Linked DNA regions of Ovis aries. The protein of the gene in region 1 purifies or fractionates together with the protein of each later gene. This does not show direct contact. Links are inferred from orthologs where the notes say so. Each region holds a gene or a part of one and is shown in the gene's direction. Other genes may lie near its edges.

Evidence for each region. Proteins that work in one complex are often made in the same cells at the same time.
Region 2: the proteins of GATAD1 (region 1) and MORF4L2 purify together in Homo sapiens (affinity purification with mass spectrometry; 4 studies listed by BioGRID and IntAct, with this or other methods). This does not show direct contact. The link is inferred for Ovis aries from reciprocal best matches to the Homo sapiens genes GATAD1 and MORF4L2.

The regions. Positions count from the first base shown.
Region 1 is NC_056057.1:10,570,783-10,573,763, forward strand, and holds the end of GATAD1 (GATA zinc finger domain-containing protein 1), read left to right. Parts: intron 1-239; coding exon of another isoform or gene 240-374; intron 375-1,771; coding exon 1,772-2,050; 3' UTR 2,051-2,270; coding exon of another isoform or gene 2,271-2,437; 3' UTR 2,438-2,475; downstream 2,476-2,981. Other genes in the region: peroxisomal ATPase PEX1, read right to left, coding at 240-374, 2,271-2,437, 2,839-2,981. UniProt on the Homo sapiens protein: Component of some chromatin complex recruited to chromatin sites methylated 'Lys-4' of histone H3 (H3K4me), with a preference for trimethylated form (H3K4me3).
Region 2 is NC_056080.1:129,270,831-129,274,963, reverse strand, and holds the start of MORF4L2 (mortality factor 4-like protein 2), read left to right. Parts: upstream 1-1,332; 5' UTR 1,333-1,391; intron 1,392-2,647; exon of another isoform or gene 2,648-2,719; intron 2,720-4,122; 5' UTR 4,123-4,133. UniProt on the Homo sapiens protein: Component of the NuA4 histone acetyltransferase complex which is involved in transcriptional activation of select genes principally by acetylation of nucleosomal histone H4 and H2A.

The DNA.
Region 1 (2,981 bases):
TTGATTCCTCTTCTATGAAATATCTAGAGCAGGCAAATCCAGAGAGACAGAAAGCAGACTGGTGACTGCCAGGGGGTTGGCAGGGGGATGGAGACTGTGATGAAGAAGTTTTGCAACCAGAGAGCTGGTGGCTACACAGCACTGTGAGCGCACTGAATACCACTGAAAGTGCACTTTAACACAATTATGCGAATTTTGCCTCAATCAAAAGAAAGAAAAAAGATAAACGCCAAACATACCTTGACACTAATAAAATTCATTCCACTTTCCCGTGCAATTACTCCAGCCAGTAAGGTTTTTCCCGTTCCAGGAGGACCATACAACAGTACTCCTGTCCTCTGTCGTATGGGCAAGTTGGCAAACAATTCCGGGTACTGAAAAATACGAAAATACGACAAAGAGCTCGACTCTAAAACAAATGACTGAGCAGCTAAAGATCAGGGCACAGAAAAAGTCCTTGGACAGTAACAACTGCCATCTCTGTAACTGTCAATGACAGGAAAGCCATTCCTACTCAAAATAATGAATGGACTCAAAGGGACTAACACAGATTTTCCCTACTGGACCACGGAAGACATTCCACATAAAATGCATATAAATGGATCTGAATTTCTTTCCACTTCTCCTGTTTCCCACCCCCAAACATTACAATAGTACTACATTAAGAAAATAAAAATAAGTATACTGCCCTCCACTTGTATGGCTCATGGGGCAAGCTATGATTGCTACACCAATTCAAATATACTCAATCAAGGAAAGAAAATATAAAGAAGCATGTGTAGTGATAATAGTACAATCTCCCAGGAGATTCCATGCTGAACAAGTAATTTTACCCTCTAAACCACCAGCTTCTCAGCAAGAAAACTTTCTGAACAGGTTTCAAAACTTTTTGAACAAGAAAACTTCTGAACAGCAAGAAAGCTGCCTGGCTCTGTCAGCAACCCCCTGGCCTCCTCTGGGCAGCATGGGAGCTTGCGCTTGGCTGTGGCCAACTGTGTGGCCCTATGGACTGCAGCCGCCAGGCTCCTCGGTCCACGGGACTCTCCAGGCAGGAATCCTGCCAGGAGCTCTTCCTGACCCAGGGATTGAATCCATGTCTCCCGCACTTCAGGTGGATTTTGTAACTCCTGAGCCACTGGGGAGACCCACTGGGTCTCCTCTATTGGGTACATCTATTTAGTCCCATATATTGACAGAATTCCAACCTCATCTGGACCTCCATTCTAATCTGAACGAGGTCCCAGTGTGAGCATTTATGCAGATGGCTCACATGCCTGGATGACGCTGGTGCCCAGACCCAGCCTTCAGGTCCTGACCCTGCAGGCCACGTCCCATGCCCATGTCCTTCCACACAGGCTTTAACCCCCAGTCGTGGGTGCCACTCAGTATGCCCCAGTCCCCACCAGACAGTCCCCAGTACCTACATGTAACCGAGGGCCTTACCCATTTCTTTATCTCTTTGGTCGGGCCCCTGATCTCATGCGAAGGTCCTTCATGCTCAGGTTTCTCATCCAAACACACCACCTTCTCGATTCTACTTCTGATCTAAACAACAGTCAGCCTGGTGGGTGCTGCCTGCTAACTCTGTCTAGAGACTGTCACCCAAAATCTGGCTAAATCCATCAGCTCTGGGGGCCTCAGTGACTCTCCCACCTTCTAGTTCATTTCTGCTCAATTGTAGCTGATGGCTCATATGCTTCAGTGAAATTTGAATTATTCAAGAAAAACCCAAGAACTCTGAAATTCACATCAAACTGTATTTTTACTACAGGACTTCCCTGGTGGCACAGTGGAAGAGAATCCGCCAGCCAGTGCAGAGGACGTGGGTTCAATCCCTGGTCCAGGAAGATTCTACATGGCTTGGAGCCAACTAAGCCCACGTGGCACAACTTCTGAAGCCCGTGTGCCCTACAGAGCCTGTGCTCCACAACAAGAGACGCCACCACAACGAGAAGCCCGTGCACCACAGCAAGGAGAAGGCCCTGCTCATCACCACCAGAGAAAACCCCCACAAAGCAGTGAAGACCCAGTGCAGTCAAAAATAAAATAAAATCTATCTACTATAAATATCACCCCAGCATCATGGGCAAGGACTGTATCAAATACTTAAAAAATCTGTTCAAGTGCCCAGAATAGGACTGGACGTTTATTTGGTAACAATAAATTCTTATTGGGTCAACCTGAGACTGGGCAAGCCAACACATACAGCCAGAGCCAATGATTCAGGGGTGTCACAGGAAGCAGGCAGTCCTCAGTTTGTTTCTAAGCACCTTGGCTGGTAACTGGATAGTATCCACTAGCATCTGCCGAACTTCATGCAGTCCACCGATCCTGTCCCAGCCCAGGTCCCGAGGTTTATGTAGGTTGACATTTCGCAGAGACACAGGAATAAATCCTCGGAGCGCCTTTTGGAAGTCCAATGTTGTTAAAACTAATTCTGTTTGGAAATAAACACAACTTCTTTTGGTGGTCATATCTCTATGTGAGTCCTCATGCAGCCGCCTCCCTTCCCCAGCGTGCCCTCCCCTCTAGTAACCACCATTCTGCTCTTCATATCTACATGTTCATGTTTGGTTTGGTCTGTTCATTCATTTTGCTTTTTACGTTCCACATGAATAGAATCAGGTGATATTTGTCTTTCCCCGTCTGATTTCACTGAGCCAATCTTAACTCAGTTAAAAAAAATGTTGTCAACTTAGCTGGAAATGGCCATTTTCTACTCACATACCTGCTTATTTGAATGCTAACATGGACTAGATTTAATTCTTACCTTACTACAATTACATTTCTCCACAAGGAAGGAAGGAATCAAATTTCGGTTTTAGCAATAAAACGTACCTTCCCTGGTGCACACGTTCTGATGAGAGAGACGAGAATGTATGGCTCGATCCACAAGCATGGTAAAGTCTCTAGCCACAAACCCTTCGGTTTCTTTAGCTATACACTGCAGGTCAAGACCGGTGAGCCTCTTCATGTCACAG
Region 2 (4,133 bases), on another chromosome or scaffold:
TAAGCATTATATTTCTACCCTCCAAGAAGTGTGCATTGGAATCACCAGAATAGTTTGTTATAACACAGACACCCAAACCCTAACAACTACTAGAATTTCTGATTAGTTTGGAGGTGAGAATCTAAATTTCTGACAATTCCCCACCAGGTGGTGCTATTGGTGTGTCTGGAAAACACTTTGAGAACCTCTGCTCTAAATCCCACCCCTCCCCAAAGGGTGCACGTGTGTGCCCAGAAACACATATGCACACACACACAAACGTATGGAATCTATAACTGAAATAAGTATAACTTGTGTTGTTTGATTTTATTAGTATGCCTCTAACAAGGATTTTGTGAAGAATTAAAGAATATCATGTGATATGACACATCTAAAATATAGAAAGCATGCAAAAAAACAGGATCACAGAACATAAATCCCAGGTTCTCAGAACTAGTAAGTGGTGGAATCGGGCTCAAAATTAGGCCTCTAATTAGGCCTCTAAACTCCAAAAACATAATAAAGTTTCACAGTACTACTGCAGAAGACAGGGTGAAAACACAAATATCCGATCATAATTTCAAAAGTGAAAGATCAGTTTTCAATCCCAGGGTCCAAGCCCAGTGAAGACAAATGTCTGTACTGACCAGAAAACCACCTGTGTTTTCCCTGCAGCAGAGCAGGGGTCAGGGTGAGGTGGTAAAGCGGGGCAGGTGGCAGCATTTGAAAAGATCCTAACCCCACAGAAAGGGTTAGAATCTTCGTATCTTCATCGGCGTCAGTGCTTGGGGGTCATTCATCAAAAATCCCATGGACGGAGGAGCCTGGTGGGCTGCAGTCCATGGGGTCGCGAAGAGTCAGACACGACTGAGCGACTTCACTTTCACTTTTCACTTTCATGCATTGGAGAAGGAAATGCAACCCACTCCAGTGTGCTTGCCTGGAGAATCCCAGGGACGGGGGGAGCCTGGTGGGCTGCCGTCTATGGGGTCGCACAGAGTCAGACACGACTGAAGCGACTTAGCAGCAGCAGCAGCACCCCCAAAAAAGGCAAGAAGAAAGAGATGGGAGGGGGAATTTTTTTTTTAAGGAGGAAAGAAGTAAAGAAAGGAGGTAAACATTTGAATAGAGCCCTACCTGGTAGGGCTATTAATAAGTTAATTTGATTTTTCTCGAGAAATGAAAGATATATATGATCTTTATAGATTGGAAAGCTCAGCAAATCAGAAAAAAAAAAAAAAAAAGATGGGGGAATCCCATAATTCCAGGGACCAAACAGCCAATCCTTTGCTGGAATTTGGCGGCATCTAGTGGCAAACTCAAAAGGTATAAACCTCACACGGAGAACTTTCTGGAAAATTAGAGTGCATACTTGCGTTAAGAGCACTCTGCCTGGAAATCAGAACAAGCAGGTAAGAGAGCCTCAGCTCCCACAGAAATTCGGAGTCCCTAGTGGAGGGGAAGTCTGTCGTGTACAGATATTCTCAGCAAAATATTGTGGCAGAACTGGACGCAACTTGGGGGTGGGGGATGGACGGGGGAAGGAGCGGGGGTTGGGGGAAGACGGCTATTAGGGAACAGCAAAGCTGCTTTTTGGAACTGCTAGTAAGCGAATGGGGGATTTGGTTGTTAACCGCTGCTGGGCTACGGCTTAGAACGGGATTTTTGATTCGGAGATAGACGTGGGAAGAAAGTGTATTTTTAGGGTTTAAAATCAAATCGATAGGGGAGACCGAAGTATTTCTAGCGAAAATCCTTTATCTCAGTGATGGTCGCCATAACTTAATTGCTTAAATTTCCGTTTTATAAGAATAATTTTCAAACATAAGTAGAAAAATGATCCGCATAGAACGCGCGCGCTCACGCGCGCACACACGCGCACGCACCCGCCCCAGAACACACACCAGCCCCGACGCTAGGGGCGCACGCCTGCGCACACCAGCCACCTCCAGCGCCACGAGGCCTGGCGTTCGCGCACACGCCAACGCCAAGGCCACGCGGGCTCGCTTGCGCACAGGAGCCCTGACACCGCGCGCCCGCAGTACCCCCCACCCCCAACTCGCACACACATCAAAACCCCCAGTCAACCTTTATTTTTTTTTTTTCCTCCGGGAGTTGCGCAAGAGGTTCGGGGGCGTGGCCGCAGATTTGACCTAGCGCTTCCCCACTCGCGGGGACCTTAGCTCATTTCCGCCCATCCTGTTTCCGCAGGCCACGTAGACACTTCCTTTCCCAGTTGGGGGGGAACCCACAATGCCTCCCTGCAGGAAAAAAAAAAAAAAGAAAGAAACCTCTGGGCAGGGGAACTCTGGGTCGTGAAAGTGGGCCACGTGAACACTCTGCCCTATAGACTTATGACCCAACCGCTGTCGCGCTTTTGGAGGGCGGGCTGAAAACCTAAGAGGGCGAACGTCATTGGTCAGAGCCCTCACTAAAGGAGAAAGGTAATTGGTTTCCTTCAAGCCTTAACGGTGAAGAAGCAGGTTGCTAGCACCCGCCTTTACTGCGGCGGAGTGTCATTGCTGACGTGGTGAGCTTCATCCAATCATTTGGTTATAGAACATTCTAAAACTTAGATGAGACGATTGTGATTGGCTGTAGGGCATAAGCCCGCCTCCAGGGTGACGTGTCTGCCTATGGATATCAGTTGCCAGAGAAACCTGGCTTTACTATGGCGGTTGGAGAGTCGGCAGTGATCACACGTCGTCGTCTGTCGGAAAGAACTGGATCCTCGTTTCAGGTTTCGGGGTGGGGGTGGGGAGAAAGGGTTGACGATTTCCTCTTATCGTCGCGTATACAGACAAGATTAATTAATGGCTTTACTATCGGGCAGAACTAGATTCGAATTCCTACTCGCCAACGCCCAGCTTGGGCTGGCTGTTCTTTCTGTGTCTCGGTTTCCATGTTTGTAAAATGGTGATAATAATAGTATCTGTCTCAGAGACTTGTGCCTCAGAGGCGTGTGCTGTATATTAGAGCGTATAATATACGACTGCTAGGTAATGTAATACGTATAATAACTTAATACGCACCGTGGCTCCGGAAGACGTTAGCTATTACTGTGGAGAGAAAAACCCGCGTAATAGAGTGAGAAAAAACGTAAAATTATGTAAAGTCGTTCCTTACAGTGCTTTTCCTATCACCTCCTTCCGTAAAAGAAATTCGAGATACAAAAGAGACGTATCAGTCTTTACCAATGAAATAATTTATTTGACAATTACCTCAAAATAGCGGGGATTGGAATTTTCCGTATTGAAAAGTTAAAAAAAAAAGCGGGGGTGGGGAGAAACGGAGAATGAGGAATGAGAGCTAGCTGGAGATGAACCACATGCGATGAGTAGGCCTTGTTTGAATCCTGATTCGGGGAAATCAACTATAAAAAAATACTTAAAGGTGCATCAGGAAATTTTAAAGACGGATTCGACATTTGATTTTTTTTAAGGAATTAATGACGATGTTTTTAGACGTTGTAATGATACTGTGGTTATGTTTTCAAATTGCCTGTAGCTTACAGAAATATACGAAAATACGAATTAAACAATAAAAGCATTCAGACTGGCTTCAAAATACCTTGATGTCTAGGATTTGCTTCAGAATTAGCTCAGCGGTAAGGGGAGGTGGCGAGGGGCATAGATAAAACAAAATTGGCACTAAATGAATCGTTTAAGCTGAGTGATGAGCTTATGGGATTCCTTGTATTGTTCTAGCTTCCTTGGTATATGTTTGAATTTTTCCATAATAAAATACAGAAAGTCAGCTATTCAGTGCTCTTGAGAAAAACAAGAGTGGGGGGGGGGGCGGCGAGCAGTGGGTGGGGTTACAGATAAAACAAGATGGCCTTCAGTTGGTAATTGTTGAAGCTGGATGATAGATTCGCAAAGGTTTATATTATTCCCCTACATTTTTATCCATTTGAAATTATCCTTAATAAAACTTAGAAAAAAGCAAAAACAAATTATCGGAAATCATGATAAATGTACAATAAGGTAAATTTGAAAATGTAGCCACAAGAAAGGGGGAAAAATCTTGTACGTATTTTATCAGCTTTGGTGTCCTTTGTGTATGTTAAAATGCATTGGTGGAAAACAAAACGTTCATCTCATATCTTTATGTCCTTTGCTGTCCCCTTGTTTGACCTTCTAGACTACCATCAG